Schizosaccharomyces pombe: one gene and its partners. The gene in region 2 interacts genetically with the main gene of each other region. Each region holds a gene or a part of one and is shown on either strand. Other genes may lie near its edges. The genes, in order: xlf1, ksg1 and irc6.

Evidence for each region.
Region 1: mutations in ksg1 (region 2) and xlf1 together harm fitness more than expected from each alone (negative genetic interaction), as found in Schizosaccharomyces pombe (one large-scale study listed by BioGRID).
Region 3: mutations in ksg1 (region 2) and irc6 together harm fitness less than expected from each alone (positive genetic interaction), as found in Schizosaccharomyces pombe (one large-scale study listed by BioGRID).

The regions. Positions count from the first base shown.
Region 1 is NC_003421.2:922,154-928,787, forward strand, and holds xlf1 (XRCC4-like factor xlf1), read right to left. Parts: upstream 2,939-6,634; 5' UTR 2,784-2,938; coding exon 2,628-2,783; intron 2,515-2,627; coding exon 2,059-2,514; downstream 1-2,058. Other genes in the region: skb5 (Shk1 kinase-binding protein 5), read left to right, coding at 916-1,338; swt1 (RNA endoribonuclease), read left to right, coding at 5,837-6,634.
Region 2 is NC_003421.2:2,101,440-2,109,682, forward strand, and holds ksg1 (serine/threonine protein kinase Ksg1), read right to left. Parts: upstream 4,852-8,243; 5' UTR 4,820-4,851; coding exon 4,247-4,819; intron 4,138-4,246; coding exon 2,932-4,137; 3' UTR 2,499-2,931; downstream 1-2,498. Other genes in the region: FANCM-MHF complex subunit Mhf2 , read right to left, coding at 1-113, 156-304; Swr1 complex subunit Swc5, read left to right, coding at 314-961; diphthine synthase Dph5, read left to right, coding at 1,148-1,407, 1,693-1,922, 1,966-2,097, 2,146-2,375. UniProt on the Schizosaccharomyces pombe protein: Involved in the control of sexual development and cell growth under stressed conditions. Phosphorylates AGC kinase gad8 at 'Thr-387', activating gad8 kinase activity and promoting sexual development.
Region 3 is NC_003424.3:2,463,339-2,467,928, forward strand, and holds irc6 (recombination protein Irc6), read left to right. Parts: upstream 1-1,886; 5' UTR 1,887-2,009; coding exon 2,010-2,067; exon of another isoform or gene 2,068-2,107; coding exon 2,108-2,497; exon of another isoform or gene 2,498-2,539; coding exon 2,540-2,731; exon of another isoform or gene 2,732-2,774; coding exon 2,775-2,875; 3' UTR 2,876-3,156; coding exon of another isoform or gene 3,157-3,921; 3' UTR 3,922-4,090; downstream 4,091-4,590. Other genes in the region: mRNA-decapping complex catalytic subunit Dcp2, read right to left, coding at 1-1,613; SUMO-targeted ubiquitin-protein ligase subunit Rfp1, read right to left, coding at 3,157-3,921.

The DNA of each region.
Region 1 (6,634 bases), 1.2 Mb from region 2:
TAAAGGATGGCACGTAAAGTTATGCCCTCTGGTTTGGTTCAGTTTTATGATCTCTTGACAGTTTTACTAAAGTAACTAAGGGCATTTCATTACGATTATCTGTTTCGATACTTTTACCTAGGGAATGCTTTAGTGTTATTTGACATCATGTTTTGTTCTTGTGCAATATTTTTTGCTCAGGTCTATTGGCGATGAATTACTATATGGTGGATCTCAGTGCAAAAAGTTTACCATTATGTGAATAGTTATTAAAAGTTTAATGGGATTATAAATTAATGGGTTTTTTATTGCGCACCTTATGCTCCTGTTATAAAGAAAAGCAGGTCGCAAAGGTAAGAACTATTTTTATACAACAATAAAGGTTTTTACATCGTATGTTTTACAATTAACTGGCAGCTCTTTGTCAAAATTGTTTATTTACGGATTTAACTTGCCTTCTTGCGGTATTGACTGCTAAGCCGGAATTTGTGATATCAAGCCATCCGTTTCCCAGTCACGCGAAAACTCTTCCTTATGGAAATTTCATTTTAACAAGTACAAATCTGTTAAAACTACATTCATATAATCATATGCAGGCAGCCGATTAGAGAAAAACTAAATTTCTTAGGCAGAATTGTCATTATCCGTCAATACCGCGTTTTTTTTATTTTCCGCTTTGATTTTTTTTATCATTCTTTTTGGTTCTTTTATTTTTGTTTTTATTTGTTTTGTTTTCTTTTTTTCCTTTTCAAAAGTCATTTGAAGACAAAAACTCAACGTTGAAGAGAGCATTTGTTCATCTGTTGACTTTTCGCCAATACACCTGTTTTTTTATGGACTTGCTAAGTATAGTGTAAATTTAACGCTGTCGTTGATCCGTATGATTTCTTTTGATTAATTTAAATCGTTATATGTGACACTAGCAATTTTTGCTTCATGGCGGAAGAGACTGAAGAGGATTATTTAGTTGTGGGTCGTGATTACTTGTACCCCCCAGATCATGAACTGCACTATGGGTTTCATGCTCGTGTGATTGAAGAGGAGGAGGAGCGATTTGTAGATGATACCTTTGATGAAACAATCGAAGGATCGGATGACTCCGAATCAATAGATGATACGGAAGTATTTTACGATGCTGAAGAATCTGAAAGCACTCACCCTTCTGCTTCTTTCAACGTCCTTGCTGACGCCGTTGCGCTTTATGATTTCGAGCCCCTCCATGATAATGAACTCGGTTTTACTACTGGTCAGAGACTTTGTATTTTGTCGGAATCCAGCGATGGTTGGTTGATTGCATACGATGATGCCTCAGGAAGAAGCGGGCTTGTTCCTGAGACGTTTGTTAAATTAGAGGTATAAAAGAGCGTTGAATTGAACCCTTTTTACTTTTTCTTTTTGTCAAATTGATTTTAAAATGTTATTCCTTATTTTATGTTCCAAGATTTTCTGGATCCTCTCCTTTATATATAAGAATCCGAAGTGTTACGGGAAAAAAATTCGGATTGTCACGCTTCTTATGAATATTATTTAAATGTACGCCTTTAAAGCAACTATCATACAATTCTCCTTTGGGTAAATAACTAACCTTGGGATGTGTCGTAACTTGGGACTTATTTTTGATTTGTTATAAGGATGAAATGAATGTTCTATCTTATGGACCTTACAAGAAAAACTATAATATTGTCAAATATAATCATATGAGATGAGTTAAGCTACATAAAACTCTTTGAAACTTTATTTTATATTATTGCAACCTTCTAATAACTTTACATCTTCTTATCCAAAGAAGAAGGGTTAGAATGTACCGTGTTTTACGGAAGTTCCATTCCCGTAGGGTTACAATGTGTTGCTAGAATAAACCGTAAGTCATAGTACATATAGAGGCCAATTCTGTAAACTTTTTTAAAGTCTATGGAAAACCCTCTATGTGTCTCCAATAGAGAACGGACATCTCTTTCTGATTAGTATATACGTTTTCATAGTCTCTTCATCCTGAGGTAAATTGTACAAAACGCTGTAGTTAAACATGTGATCGAGTTAAATAGATATCTTCATAGTTCAATATACCATTAGATTTTTTTAAACAAAATCATAACGAGTACGAGGTCGTTTTGGAGAAATAATATCTGCAAATGCTGAACGTTTTCTTGGTGTGGAAGGATTGGAAGACGAGGATCTTTCATTTAATGCTTCCTTGAACCAAGTCTTGTCATTCAATAAAGACTTTTGATCACGAATAATGGACATTAACGATCCTGGACTAGTGTCGGTTTCTGACTCGAATAAGTGATGATTGATAAGAGGAAACCATACCATCTTGGCAATCGTCTCTGGTGGAGTAAGCCAAAGGGTCCAATTCCATTCTAAGAAAATATCTTTAGCTATTTTTGAGGTACAGAAAATTTTTAAAGATCCCTCGTCATTTGAGCCTCGTAGTTGAATTCTACTTTCAGAAGAAACATTCACCAGCACTTCAGCCAGTACATCGACTAACGTTTCAAACGTTTGAAATGGATCGATAGGACATCTTTCGCTCTGTTTAAAAGTTAATATAACTCTTGGTTGAGAGAAAGGTGTTAATTTGGTTGCATTTATAACTGCTTTTCCCCTGAAAGCATAGTAGCAATGTAGTTGTTAACTAATCTTACCTCTGCCTGATTGACGATTTGATTGCGGCTACATGTACAGGACCAAACACGCACTAGGTCTGTAATATGAATGACTTGTACAGCCTCATTACTTTCTGCGTCGAAGCTAGCCTGTATAAAATGAAACCTGTGGCCACGTAGCTGCACCCAAGACATCAAGTATAAACAAATGCAATGTCTTGTTCAGTATCTCAAATTGATTATAACAGCAATTCAATTGAAAATATTAAAGCTAAATCACTAAAATAGAAGAAATAAGCTCAGCAATGGTCACAGTTGAGAATTCGAGTTTGCAAAGTAGTATTGGTATTGATGAGAAAATTAAACAACCGATATATGCCAGAGTAAACAATAACTATGCCAAGTTATTCTTTAAACTTTAGAATGTGAAAATTAGATCAATTGGAATGCTTTTGTAAAATATTGTCTAGTGGTTTGAAAGTAGCCAGCGAAAGACAACACAAACAAGGACAGAAAGGAACTACCAAGTAATTTGAGAGCTATTTTTTTTTGAAGCTTAATTTGAAAACGAAAAAATTATTAAGTAGATAAGAATGACTCCGTTCGGTTTTTTCTTCTGCTCACAGAATTTCGTGGACTAGGGGACATTTCAGCGGTATGTTCAGAAGAAGTATTGTTTCTAATTTGAGAAGAGATATCCATTCTGGATAACTTCAAGGCCCTCTTGTTCCGAAGATTGACCTACAATCATCATCCGTGTTTACATGTAGCTCTTATATTCTGCACAAGCGTGCTACTGTGTTTATATATATATATTTTTTCTAACTAAAAGTATATATATGTTTGCTATTGCTACTTCATTGTAACGTCAATGGTAAATGAAGAAGTATGTGATATAAAAACGCAAATTAATTATGCCTAACTCATTAACGACTACGAAACGTCTGAAGGTAAGAGGCAGGGAACCACATACAATGAATGTACATACTACTTCCAAAAGGATTTCGCATTGTTTGTTAGAAAGAGATGAAAATCAGAGCTCTTAGTTTTTTTGAAGCAATGTCATTTCTTCTTATAATTTAAACTAAAATCAGAGGTGTTCAACAAAAAGGTCTCGTGGCCCAATGGTTAAGGCGCTTGACTACGGATCAAGAGATTCCAGGTTCGACTCCTGGCGGGATCGACCTTTTTGTTAAATAATTTTTTTGGGTTTTTTTGAATAATTCAATTTGAAAATACACAACCGTTATTATTTATAAATTCGAGTGCAAAAAGGATGTATGAACTTAGAGGACATAGTCAGTATATACTGAGCGGGATTTACATTCCACAAATGAATTTCATCGACTACATTAACTACTCCTGATTTACATTATATATTACTAAATTACTAACTGTGTGTCTACGGCCATACCTAGGCGAAAACACCAGTTCCCGTCCGATCACTGCAGTTAAGCGTCTGAGGGCCTCGTTAGTACTATGGTTGGAGACAACATGGGAATCCGGGGTGCTGTAGGCTCCTTCTTTTTTATTTACTATTTGCTTGGCTTCTGCAGTTAACAATTAGGAAGATGTACATATACATAACAAGTTTGAAAGCACTTATCGAGATGATTTGCAATTACGAATCATGAAAACTACAGCAGAAGTTCACGGCTTCTCAGGCTACAACAAAGTTCTACTTCTCTGAGTGGATCATTTTTAACAAAGTTGATTAATTAATTTTTAAAGAAAAATAGATATTTTTCCTTTCCACGGGGCATTTCAAAGGAAAAAAGAATCTGAAATACACTTTAAGAAAGGAGTTTTTTTCTCCCCATCGTATTCAATTCGGCAATCAATGTAACTTATAAAAGAGACTCAGACTGAATCAAATTCGATGGGTGCAACTTTCAAATTATTCTAAAGGGTTCATGCCCTCTATTTATAGTAAAAAGAGCGAAGAAAAAATTTTTGAACACACGAATTTTACACACAAACTGCACAACGCTTTAAGTGTTTTTCTAATTTAAATTCTGATAAATAACAAATTTGAATGCATAAGCTCAATAGACTATTCCCTCTAGCTGGATCTAAAACTTTGACTTCTGAAACAAATGCACAAGAAACAGTAATATCATTCATTATTGTTATATTGTTATAACAAGGTTTGATTCATTGATTTTGTTAATTATTTTTATACAATGAAATAAACAGAACAAGATATTAACGAACAATTTATTTTACAAGTGTTTTGTTTAGAGAAATTAACAAACAAAAAGAAGAAATGATCACAAATAAAGTATTCGAGGATTGGGAGAATGACTATTTCTTAAAGACAGAACAATTAACCGATGGATCGTTTACTAAGGAGTCCTTATAATAATAAAATTTAATATCGCAAAATTCAGCGAACGCTCTAACTGGCACTAATTAGATTGATAAATGTAGTCAATTGGAGCTTTGTAAACTAATGAACAAACTTAGAAACCAACGGACGTTTATTTTAGTGCTTCTCGTACATACGATATATAGTAATATGTAACATCGCATAGTGTGTTGCTAAAATATCAGTTTTAACGAGAGTGCGATATACGTCTTTACTGAGCTTTATGGTGTCATTAATCGGGGTCGCTCTATAACAAACGCGTGAAACTAGGACATCAACAATCCATAAGTACTAGCGTATTGAGATAGTTTCTTTAGTATTTTAAATCTGACGCTTTATAAGTATTGCTTCTTTTTTACAGAAATTCTATTGTGCTCTGTCGTGGACGCTTTATAGAAAAACCGTGTATTAAGAAACAAATCACCAATTATAAGAATTTGCTCTACTATTGTTTAAATCTCTCTTCAAAACTGGGAATCGAGATATTATTTAATATCTGTTTCTACTTATTGAAGGTATGTAATATTTTTTAAGCGTTCATGCACAGTGTACGCAGGTAATTGCTTTGTTTATATGCACACATGCAATATAATAATACATTTGGCTAATATATACAAAATTAGACATCTTGCTTTTCTTCATTGTCCCAAAAAAAAATATGCTGCAAAATTGGTTTTTCCAAACTTCAATCATTGTGTGAACTCGAATATCAAGTAGGGTTTGTTTTATGTGATTGTTCAAGCCTTTCCTACTTTTAACTATTTTTATCTTTTATTTTTTCAGTTGATGCTTTCATATTAGTTCATCAATTTGAGTATTACTCGTTCATGTATCTGTATAGTAGACTGCACGTACAGTTGCTTTTTGTCACTTGCTAGCAATGGATCGAATGGAAATAGACGACCAGGCTGGCATAGATTTTGTCACTGAGTCCATCAACTCTGAACGTGCGCGTAACAGATGGTCAACTTCGCATATTCCTTCATTAAGTGAAATCAATCCCTCCTCTTTTCAATCTCCCTCGCCTTCTCCTTTTGCTTCCTCCACTTCTTTAGCTTCCAAACCGGCTCGCTACAGTAAACCTTTGGGGCTTTTTGTGCTTGATACAAATTTCCTTTTGTCGCATCTGAGCCTTTGTCAAAACCTTATTGAATTTCTTACAGCTCGTTGCCCTCGACTTGTTGTCGTACTACCATGGACGGTCCTTCAAGAGCTAGATGGCCTTAAGTCAGAATCCTCCTCTACTTGTGGTTATTTGGCTAGACAAGCTCATAACTTTCTTTTGCAATGCTTTCGATCTAATGTTTCAAGTCTTCGTGGGCAGAAAGTACATGAACACTGCTCATCTACTGAAAAAGGTGATGACGCTATCCTTGATTGCTGCATATACTATCAAGAAGAAAAACTTATTCCTGCCGTCCTTCTTTCGGATGACAAGAATCTCAGTATAAAAGCGGCCGTTCATCATATTCAATCTTTATCGTTCTCCAAAGGCCTTGAAGCTGCATCGATCGTTCAGACATCTTTCCCTTCTGCTTTTTCTTCGAACTCTGAGAACTTAGAGAATTTGTCGATGGATATCGATTTGACTGTTTCACAACCTTTAGCTACAGCTACAAACCATCGTAATCAAGGAGCTTCAACTGTAGATATACCAATGGATCGCACCCATGACAAT
Region 2 (8,243 bases):
AGTCAAGGGCTAGTTGAGCTGCGATGCCATTTTCCAAATCTTCTAATTCTAAAACAATATCTTCATTTTCAGAAGATGACATGATAGAGTTCTTTTTCTCTTCATAAGCTCGACTAAACGAATAATTAGCACATAAGTAATACAAAAGCCCTTACCAAACTGCCTCTTTTGAATAAATCCTTAAGTATTGAGTAATTAATTCTAAAGCACTTGGAGTAATTTTGGTTCCCTTTTCTGAACTGAAATACAAGGTCAGAATGCGTGCCAACGTATTGAGGGACAGCAGTTCGCTTTCCTGCTCCATTACACTTCAATGACAGAGAAATTAATTGATTTCGGCCTTGAACAAGAGGAGGAGGATACGGAATTTGTCCCAGGTGACAGTACGGATACGGAGTCGTCGTTTTCTGATGCTGATTCAAGTGAGGAGGAGTTCGTAGAGGAAAAAGAAGCCTCGCAAGTTCAAAGTACTAAATCAAAAATTGCAACCAGTGAATCTGAAGATGTTACTCTTAAAAATATAGCAAAAAAAAATAAAAGAGAAAGAAATGATAAATTAATCCCTCAACAATCAAATGAATCCGAGGCAATTGAGAAACCGGTACAGTCTACAACCGAAGTGGAACTGAAGACTAATGAACTTGCAGAATCGAATTCCTCAGTTGCCGTAGAAGGGGATGAAAATTCCTATGCTGAAACACCTAAGAAGAAACACTCATTGATAAGGAAACGCCGTAAATCTCCACTTGATAGCTCGTCAGCCCAAAAGGTTTTAAAGAAAAACAAGCTAAACACTCTTGAACAAGCACAGCAAAATTGGTCAAAGTATATTAAGGAACAGGATATTCAAGATGAGCTTCGGATCGCCAATAAAGATGGTTATGTCGAGCGCCAGGAATTCTTAGCAAAAACCCGTGCTGCACATGAAGAAAAAATTCGAGAGATGAAAAAGTTGCCGTAACAAAATGGTTTAAAACTTAAAACTAGTATTTTTTTTAATGAAGAACCCCTTTTGTCTAAGACACCAGCCGGCAGCATTGAACGAGTCCATGTCGATTTTGCGTTTCTTCAACTACTTCACCTCCTCCAAGCCAGGAAGTCGTTGTCTTTCTAAAACTTCATTTGAAAATATCCAGATATTATTTAAATGTTTTATTTAATTGGATTAGGATTATTTGATGAAAAGGATATTACCTTAAGAGGCCTAGAAACAGTAAAAAAATGTCAGCGTATATATCTTGAGGCATATACGTCCATTTTGCTCGTTCAGAAGGAAAAATTAGAAGAACTTTATGGTAAAGAGGTTATCCTTGCTGATCGTGAAATGGTAGAGAGCAGTAGTGATGAAATCTTGAAAGACGCTGACAATTGTGATGTTGCAATGCTTGTTGTTGGTGATCCGATGGGGTATGTTTACTTGAAAGTACATGTTCCTTTTATTTATCTTTTTTTTATTTACTTTGAGAAATTTGACTCAGCTGTTTATTACAGGCTTTTAGCCCTTACGACAGCATCTCTCAGTTATTAAAAAAGCTTTGGTTTTTGCGAATTGTCTCTTTAAAGAACATTCAGTTTGTCATCGAACCCTATGATCTGTAAAGATTTAATTGTAGTGAATACTAATGACTCTTTAATTTGAGAACCCGTGCTTTTAATAATCGTTTATTTTTTATTGTATTACTAATTGTTTAGAGCTACCACTCATGCTGATCTAGTTATAAGAGCTCGTGAGCTTAAGATTCCTGTTCGCATGATACACAATGCCTCCATTATGAACGCTATTGGTGCATGTGGTTTACAACTCTACAAGTTTGGTCAAACAGTCAGTCTTGTCTTCTTCGAAAACAATTACCGTCCTCAAAGTTTCTATGACCACATTAAAGAGAACGTTAGTTTGGGACTTCATACCTTAGTTTTGCTGGGTAAGTTAATAGATTATAGTAGTTGGTGTTCTGACAATAAAAGATATCAAGGTAAAGGAGCAAAGCTGGGAAAATCTTGCTCGAGGCAGGAAAGTATACGAACCTCCTCGCTATATGTCTGCTAGTTTGGCTGCTCAGCAGATGTTGGAAGTCGAAGAGGATCGTCAAGAAAATAGTACGTTCATTTTAAAATGTTTTTCTATTAATTGTTAACCACCCTTAGTATGCACACCAGACTCTTTATGTGTGGCTGTTGGAAGAATGGGTTCCGATGATCAAGTTATATTTGCAGGCACATTGCAAGAGTTAGCTGAGCATGATATAGGTCCTCCATTGCACAGCGTGGTTCTCGTCGGTAGAGATGTTCACGATTTAGAATTAGAATTTCTACGTGCGTACGCAGTCAATCTCGAGAACTTTGATCGTGTCGCAAAAACATACTTGGAGAAGTAATTCATTATTTATCATACTAGTAAATTGATGCTTGAAGTTTTTTTTTCTGATATTAAGCGAAACCTAATTTTTATGTACAAGTCATACTTGCATAATTAACTTAATCTGTAGATTAATCATAAATTGAGAGAATGTACAACTGGCTTTTGGGAATAATTTCTTTAAATTTTTTTACTACGTAGGTAGAGGTATATTAACTAGTAAACGGTGAAATGTTCTTGGATCGATAACTTTTACCATTTTAACATTTTAAGGCTAAGGTAAAAAATATAAAATAAATAGATCCATAATAAGAATAAGCAAATAAAATCAATTGACCGTTAATAACAAAATACAGAAATCATACGGCAATCTAATTTTGTAATCACACTGAAGGATCACGGATATAAAGATTTTTTTTCGAATTAAACAACGAACGTAAGAGAAAAACTTAAAAAGAATTTCTTGAAACATCAATAAGGTCGTAAGAAAATTAATGCAGAACAGAACAGAAAAAAGAGTGATAGAATAAAAAGTGAGGGGATGGATGGAAGTGTTCATAGACATAAAGGATAGATTAGACAGCACTTCTAGCAATGCTTCTTGAAAAGCTGGTAACAGAATGATTACCGAATGGAAGAGAAATAGAGCTAGCCTTATCTAGAAGCTCAACCCAAGCAGAAGCCGGTCCATTCGGGTCTTCAAACGACCAGGATTTTGTTGGAGTCTCAACTACCCAGCCATGTTCATTGTTTTTTACCATCCGACAACGCATGCCTACACTCTTAATAGGTATTTCTTCTTTAACTGTTTTTCGCCCTTCACCGTCCGAGGCAACACACAGGTATCGACCAAAATTTGTAAGTATAAAGGTCCGAGGTTTCCTTTTTCGAAAAAGACTGGAGAAAAAGCGAAAGGCATCATTTCCATTGATACCAGACATACTATAAACATTGAGGGTTCCAATTTTTGAGATTTTTTCATCGTCTTGAAGAATACTCGACCATTCCTTGTTTTCCTCCTCAAGGTTGGATTGACACGGCAATAGAGTGCCTCGGTTAAAAGTACCAACCGGAGAGGGTGCAGCATTGGTGGATGCTGAAACCATCGATGGAACACCAAGAGGCGAGGTCAAATCACCATTTTCGTGTTTGTTAGATGCATTAGGAACGGAAAGGCTGAGGACGCTAGTATGACCAAAAGGTTTAAGACGGGGAGGAGGAAGTTCCCAAAGGGTATTATCAAATTTGATACCATTAAAAAACGGATGCTGGTGTATTTCATCAACAGTTAAGCGATCTTTAGGATCTAGAACTAGCAGTTTTTTAATCAAATCAGAAGCGACATCTGATATGTCAGGTGGTATCTCATAACTCAAATGAAGAATACTTTGGAATGTCAAATATTCATTTCCTGCTACAAAAGGGGGTTTGCCAGCTAGCATTTGGAAAAGAATGCAACCAAACGCCCAAATATCGGAAGCCGTACCAGCAATTTTATCACTTAAAACTTCAGGAGATACATAACGAGCAGTTCCTACAAACGATCGAGAATGAGCCTGTGGTTTGTCAGCATGGTGTGTGTCTTCTTCATGACTGCCATGTGAAGAGTTTAATATTTTTGCTGAACCAAAGTCGGTAATTTTTGTACGCATATTATCATCCAGCAAAATATTTTCGGGCTTCAAGTCACGGTGAATCACTCCTCGTCCATGCATATAGTCTATTGAGTCAACGATAAGTGCAGCATAATATTGTGCACATATTTCGTTAAATCGTCCCAACTAAATTATGTGTAAGCAAAAAATAAAACATTTAATAAGAAAAAAGACAAGATTGTAATAATCAGTAAGCTATCCATCATCAAGCTGCATGAACATTATTTATACATACCTTATTGATATAATCCAACAGTTCACCATTTCGAGCAAGACTCAAAACAAAATACAAATTGTGAGCATCTTGGAAAGTATAAAATAGCTTAATAAATCCAGGATGCTTAGAGAGGATGCACAAAGCTTCTTTTTCAATGTTGACGTATTTTTCCTTTTTTTCCTTGATAATATGTCTTTTATCCAACACCTTAATAGCATATTCTCTTTTTGTTGAGTTTTCGGTAGCTGTTAATACAGTACTGTATGATCCTTCTCCAAGGATTTCGCCAAATTTAAAATCCGAAACTCGTTTTATGTTAGGAGTCGATGCACCGCTAGACGGATTTGGAGTAGAGATATGTGGGACTGCAGAGGGAATCTTCGGCGATGAATCGATCTGAGACGTTGACTCATTTGGTGTAGTATTTAAAGCATTAGACTGCGGGATGGCACTATTTTGCGTCTTTGGTAATGAAGCTCGGTTTAGTTTTTCACTTGATCCATGATCAAAACTAAGGTCGGATTCGCTTTGAGTATCATTTTCTGCATCTTCTGATGCTTCAGTTTCATTCGGATTGTGCGTATTTCGCATAACCAATATCTGGTGTGAAGAGAGTACTGGGTAGGTGAATCAGTGTCAGTAAACTACGAATTGACGGCAATGTCATCAAAAGAAAATTGCACATATTCGGTAAAATTAGTGCTTATAACTGCAAGTATACAACTATTGTACTATTGTTATATAAGATTTTGCTATCCGGGTTATGATTTGCATCGTTGTGAGTGCGAAAATTAATATTGCATGGACATTTTAGATAAACTAAATATTCATTCATTTGATTTAGATCATGCTTTTTTTAGTAACTATAAGTTTATTTATTTTTTTAAGGAGCCTAGAGAAGTAGTTCATCAAGGTAATGATTTATATTACTATGTGAATCAGCGCTGAGTATACACAGTCATACGCAAATTCTTAATGGAGTAGAGAAAATCATTACATAAAAGTAAAAAAATTGTCAAACCAAGTATTTTCGTCTTGGCTGGTTGAATAGCATTACCTTCGGGTGTGGAATTCAATATGATTTAATTTCAATAACTTAAAAGATCACTTAGGTTTTAATGAATAACTCAGTTTATATACGAAGAGCATTAGAAGCTTTTATACCAGAATCGTAGCTGAATATGCGGGAAACATATTTTACTTGAATTTCAACTTACCGTATCAATTTTACAGAGAGAGAAAATTATGCACCATTCAGTTTATAAATATGAATTATTTGTTCAGCACAGAATCAAAAATAAAGTGCCATTGTTTAGAATTGCATTTTCCACTACACCTAATAGGAACAAAGTGTGTTTGATTTGTTTCAATTTAGTGTTGTAAACAATTCATTTTGGAGATATAACATAAAGAAAAGGGTTGGTATGAATGCCAATATCTTGCTAGCGAATTCATATATTTTGCTTACGAACAAATCTTCATTAAAGGACAACCAACGCAAGATTTAACTGAAGGATACCATCTTTATTTTAACTATTCTATAAATCAATTTTTGAGCCTTTTTTTTCTGGGGTATATGCGTGAGAGAAAATGAAGTAATTACGATATAGTACATTAAATGAGTTTTTTGTCCGTCAATATCCTTTTTAAAAAATTAGTTAGTAAAATAAAGAATGATAATGAAGTTTTACAAAAAAAAATTTGTTTATTGAGTATTATCTGGGTGAAAAACAAAGAAAATATAAAATTATAACTGGAATTAAAGAAACAAGACGTTCACAAACATAAATTAGCAAATTCAGAAAAAATTAAAAAAATTTAATAATAATGACATTTTACTATCAGCCCCCTCTGTTTATTTAAAATATTATATTTTTGGAAGGCATGTATACCAAAATATTTAGTATCTAATTTTTAAGTTGTGATGTAATAAATCATATTCCTATAATACAACGATTAACTTAGATGATTTAATTTTCAAAAATTTTTCATATTCATTTTCATTCGCCTGGACGGATATGAAATATATAAACTCCATTTGTCAGAAGATTAAACCATGTGAAATTGTGAAGGTAGCGCATTTTACACTTATTGTGAAAGACTGGAAATTGGTTGTTTTCGTTTCCAAATTGCAATTTTGTTTTTGTTAAGCCACTGACCTTGAAACATAATAATATTCGTGTAACACACAAAAAGAATCTAAATTTGGTATCATAAGTCGCAAGTCATAATTAAACTATCAAAAAGATCGAGTAAATAAAAGTAGTCCAACTGTAACAAAAGGATATTTTCAAATGATGAAAACTAGAGAATTCGAAATCGTAAATAAATGAGGATGTTTCGAATGTTTTTAATTACAGCATTCGGTTATATCAACCTTATTTAAAGTTCGCTTAAGCAGTCATTAATTCAATATTTATGGTCTTTATCCTTAAAGCAACTTTTCAAAATTTTCAAATATATAATGATATATCCCTTTCGGATTTCGATTCTCTTTATGTATATAGTCTTCCTTTCAACCAGGTCACTTTTAAAGAAGCAAGTGGTACAAATACGGTTTCCTAACGATAACGCTGTTTAAAGCATAGGAAATGAAAGAAGTGTCGTTGTGCGGTTTTACTGTCAGCTACACACTTTATTATCTACTTTAACGATACGTAAATTGCATTAATTCTTACCTGTAATCTATTATATTATAGATGCAGATTAACGAGTTCTTTTATGTAAGTATTCTTATAAATGAGTTATCCTGTTACCTATCCACTAAAGGTAGCTTAAAGTTAAACTGAGGACTAAGCCTCAATAGGAGCCGTATCTATATACTACAATAACACGCGCTTTAGTAAACTATCAACGAGGTCTTTTTTAACGTTGTATCATAGATGATATGATGTGTAAATAAAACATGTGACATATAGTGATACGCAACGTAGTGTGCCATATCGTAGTGCAGTATTCCTGACACATGTTATTACTATAACAAACCATCGTTCTGAATATTTTATTATGCTATTCATTATTTTGTAAACATTAATTTTGTTTGAATTGAACCATTAAACAAAAAGAAAAAATGATAATTAAGCTTGATTCATTAAGAATCAAGATGAAGGAGAAATGAATGCAATAAACGACAATGAATTTGTAAATTTAACAAGGCGGAACAACGAGTTTTTCGATTTCATTAGTTGATTTTAAGTTGTCGTAAACAAGTTAAACCATTATTGTTTGTGACTTGAGTACCATTAAAAAAGACACATAATTAGACTCGCATACATAATAAATAAAGACTTCGGTCCTCAATGCACATTATCCAACATCGTAGAATGCATTGGTTGGCAATTTTTGATAACTGGAAGAATAAGTTAAGCATATATTCCATAAACTTATAAAGGAAGAGGATGATTAAAGAATGTTGGTGCTTATTTTTAAAAAAACGCCGCAGCTTCTCTGCGTTGATGATTTTCGTAAAGAGGTTTTCCAACTGTAGCGACAACTACATTAATAACGCAATTATACTTCGCTTTCAACTTCCATTTCCCCCAAGGGAATGTCATTATTATCGTTGGCACCTCTAATCGCATTTCCTATCCGCCCACTTGCATTTCCTATACCTTCTAATCAGGTAAGTAAAAAATAATTCATAGAGTTTTTTTGAATACACATACCTAATATAAAACCTATAACATTCCCAGTAGTGTTGCGCATCCTCTTGAGTACACCTGGACGTTCTGATATGGTTAGAGTAAATTACAGGAATATATAACGAACCCATTTCGTAAAGAAAAAGAGCACAAACCCTTCGATTTCGTAGCCTCTCCATCCGAAATATTTACCAAATAAAGACATTGAACCGTTTACTAATAGTGCGATAATGCCATGTATACCCAACACTTGTAGCATCCCAGATAATGCACGGCAAAGTGTCCAAATTGGAATACAAACTGTATGTTAGCGTTTAGCAAGATAATTTCACTTACCAAGCAATAAAATGAAAAATAAAGCAGCCGAAATACTG
Region 3 (4,590 bases), on a different chromosome or scaffold from region 2:
GATATTTCCTCTCCTTGACTATTGTCAGAAAATTTCTTTGTCTCTAATGAATTAGGCGTCAAAAAAAGATTCGCTAATTGAACATTTGCCTCTTTGCTTAACGTAGAAGATGAGGGTGTCGTATCCTGCTGAGAGAGCATACTTAATAACCTTTTTGAATTTGAGTCTCCTTCCGAATTATATGATTGACCTGAGTTATCGGAATTTCGAGCTAAAAACTGAGTCTGAGATTGAAAAGGAGGAAGAGAAGAAATTTGTTGAGTCTGATGACCATTTACATAGGGAGAAGAAGATCCGTATGCTGGTTGCGGAGTTTTGCCTAAACCATAGGAACTAACGGAAGTCGAAGTGGGAGGATAAAAAACTTGATGATAAACAGTACTTGGCGAGGGCAATTCCATTGGAGAAGGCATGTCGCTAGCGGCAAATAAATGCTGAACAGAATTTTGGTCTTTAAGTAAATTTGAATACATACTCTGCTGAAAGTGATTATTCAACACAGGTTTATTAGTTAACATGTTGTTTTGAGAAACAACTCTTGGAAAAGAAGCAGATGGATTTTTTGGATCCAATCCAAGGTAAGCAAAAGGATCGAAACTGTTATTATCATGCGATAAACGAGAATTGCTGCTTTGAATGGGGGGATTAAGAGGAAGGTTCGACACAGGAGGAAGTTGAATTGGAGATTTAGGTTCATTTCCTTCATTTAATAAATGCAAGATTTTCTGTTTAATGTCAAAAGAAGAATGTGATTCAACTGGTGGCTGAGGAAAAGTTGAAGGTTGCGGAGTAGCAAGGTCTGAAGGTGCTGTCGAAGATTTCAAAAGAGAAAGCAGTTGGGAAGAAGCATCAGCATCAACATCAACGGAAATGTTCTTTTCTTTGGTAGTGTTATTGGCAATATTCCTCTTCTTAATCCATTTCTTCAATGGCGCCAAAAATGGGATTACCATGTAAAATTTGTTTTTCATGGTCTGAGGTTTATTTTTTTTGAATGTAGGAAGATCCATAAGATTATGCCATTCAATTTTACTAATTTCTTTTCTTGTACGAGATTCAAATCTTGTATCCAAAGATATTCCAGGAATAATATACAATCGAACGTTTTGTCCACGTATAGTCATATCAATAAATTCATTAGGATTTATACGGCTAGAACAGTCAAAGCCTGTTTCTTCATATACTTCACGAATAGCACAATCAACATCAGATTCATCTTTATCAATTTTTCCCTTAGGAAATCCCCAGCCGGATGATGCTTTCCATCCTTTGACAAGTACGCATTGCTGCATTGACATATCAAGCATTATAGCTCCGCGGACAGGAATACGAGTCTTATATCGTAAAAAATCATCAAACGCCTCTTCATGGACCTTACTCCACTTCCACAATAAAGGACAGTGAGCAAAAAGCTTTGCACTAAAAACACGCAAACCTAGTGATGGCAACTGATCGTTTTGCGCACGTATAAAATCTTCATAAAACCAATGAGCTTGTTCGATTTGAAAACAAAGTCGTTCAACGCTACTTTGCTCCTCTGCTGGTAAATTCAAGATAAATCTAGCTGATAAATCATCCAGCACTTGCGAAAACGTGGCATTTGTGAACGACATATTTCTTTTAATATATAGTAGTCTATTGTTTGCATTTAAAATTCTAAGTCACTCCAAAGCACGACAAATTCGTCAACTTTAATTTTTGTGCGTCTTGGTATTTAAAGCCATTTATGCGTGTGCGTATAACACAGAGTTAGGGACACGTAAAATTACGTACCAACCTTCGTTAGTGATAAACTAAACCATTATTGATTTAGGAATGTATCACACTGCGCTATACTATTGCTCAATCCTTGTTTCATTAAACTGTTAGACTGTAGTTAAAATCACAATTTGCCTTACCTTTAGGTCTTTCGAGAATTTATTTATCCACCAAAAACTTGTTTAATATTCTACAGAACTGATTGAAAATATAAAAAAGCGAATTAATTTTTGCTAAGTACATAAAATCATATGCGAGTTATTTTGGTTATAGGTCGCTCTAATTCTGGAAAGCTAGATTTTATTAAGGGTAAATATTAGTGTTCTATTTGCAATTACTAATTGAAAAGCTTTGACGGGTTCTTTACCGAAGGGGTTAGATGACGAGGCATTTAACAATGATCATTCTGGCTTGATTCATAAGTATAATATCAGAAATAAATATTTTGAAGCTTCGGTTGGTATTTGGATTGAAGAATATTCTAATTTAGCTGAAACTTTGGATGCTTATAGTTCTGAAGAAGCGAAGGAAGTTATTGATAGCTTAGGTGCCATTGTATATACTTTTCGAAGTTTTGATGAAGCTGAGTGGTCTCTTTTTAAAAATTTTATAGATAAACTACAGCTAGAGATTCCGGTAATTGGGTTGCACATGTCAGATGAAAAATTACTAGAACCACCTGATGTGTTTACCCCAGAATATATTTCTATCAGCGAGGAAGGAGTGAATGAATTCAATGGTAAAGTCAACCAATCTTCTATTTATTAACAAGTCTCTTTAGAGAAAGTAGGACTGGACCGTGTTCGAGAAATTCTCGATTGCTGCGAATGGAACTTGTCACAAGTTGATAAAAGTTTCTCGGAAGAAAAGGATGATGCCGGAGATTTCTATCTCCCGGAACGATTCAAAGGAAGTCCAGACATGCAATCGACGGATCTGGATAATTTGATGAAAGAAATGAACCAAATTAGAGGTTGGTAACTCCTTGAGTCGACTAAACTAACAACGAAATTTAGATGCTGACCTGGAAAAAAATGAGAAAAAGGCCAAGGCTTTAAATCTTTTAGAAAAATTGTTAGGCGATGAATTCGAGGAAAATGATTATGAATCGCTGTAGAAACAAGGCCTTTGTTCGTATCCGGAGAATACATGTTGTCGCTGGAGCACAAATTGATGTATAATAACTATTTGAGTTTGCAAGAAAGGTTCAATTAAGTTTTATCAAAGTATTTTTTACTAAAATCTAAATCTGCTGTATTGAAAGAGGACCTATTAGCAACTTAAAAAAAATTCGTAAGTAAAGCTCAGTCACAAATTGTGATAATTTTGGTCGTATTTCATTATTATAGACATTATAAATCCAACACAATGGACTACATTTTCAATGTACAAGGTTCGTCAATAAAATAATTCCCACATGGCATTTTTCGTATTTAAATAACGGCCACAGTCATTCACTAGACATTTTGACTGAGATCGTTTACTGGTTTTCAAAACTTTTGCACAAGAGCCACAATAGACGTGACCACACTTTGTTGCCCATAATGCAGATTTCTCTTTGCTTTTGGATGTTCCTAATGGTTCCTGACATCTTGGACAAACCATCAATGTATCATTGTTAAAGCTTCTAGTAAATCCAGATTTTGGAGGGCCTGGAGGCTTGTAAGACTGTTTTATATTTTCTAAAGAAGAAGTAAAATCATCATATGATTCTTCAAAATGGTTAGAGAAATATTCGTCGTCTGAACCGTTAGTCCATTCTGGATGTATAGCGTCAAATCTCATTCGGTTCACAATCAACTGGAAAAGAGAAGGGGATAAGGAATTAACAGAACTAAACTCAGGAAATGTCCTGGCAATCATTCCCATCAAATCTCGACGTGAAGAAGAACGACGAGTGGACACCTGAGGACCTAAGTAAATCATGTCTTCCAAATACGATAAATGATTTGAAGGAAAGTTACGAGACCGTTCATTCCTTCTCCGGTTCATACGCCTTCTTCGAGGACTTAGAACAGGAGATGATGGAAAGCTGTCATCAGGAATAGCATCCAAATCAATGATATTTGTTGAAGAAATAGAAGTTTCGACTGGTGGAGAAGGTGATCTCGTCAAATCAATTACACTGCTTTCATCTATTCCATTGCTTCCATTAAATTGCATTGATGTGTGAAAAAAGATACACAATTGTTTCCTGTCAAGTAATTGACAACGGGCAAAAAATTAAGTCGATTTATTTGTATATATTTTGGCCTTGCATATATTAACGAAACGGTATTATTTAATATAAAGCTCTAATGTATTGCTGTATATCAAAATACCGCAGACCAACAGTTCGGTGCATTTTTAAGGCAATGTCCAGTATGCTTTATTATTTATAAACTAATGGCTAGTAAAGAAACGTAAATTAGAAGTCGCATTTCTTTGTTTACACATTATCTTTATAAAAAGGAAATGACCTTATGTGATAATTTACTGAGAAGATCAAACGCCAAAGAAGATATGGCGAATAGAGGAATTTTACGAGCTTAATTTAGCAAGAAGAACCAAAAAAATATGCCTCTAGTAGACGATATGGATTTTTTATTAAAGCACAGAAAATGAATTTAAAATACTAGACGATATTTGATAGTACAATTGTTGAAGAATTAGGATTGTATTTATTAAATCCGCTAGATTCTGAAGTTAAACTTTCACAAATGAGTAATTGGAACATCAGCGCTTGAATATCAAGTTCCTGTCTTGAATTTTTTTGAGTATAAATATGATAAATCAAATAATGGATAACACTGCTTTTAGACCAGCATCAAAAGCGAGCGACATTAACAAAGA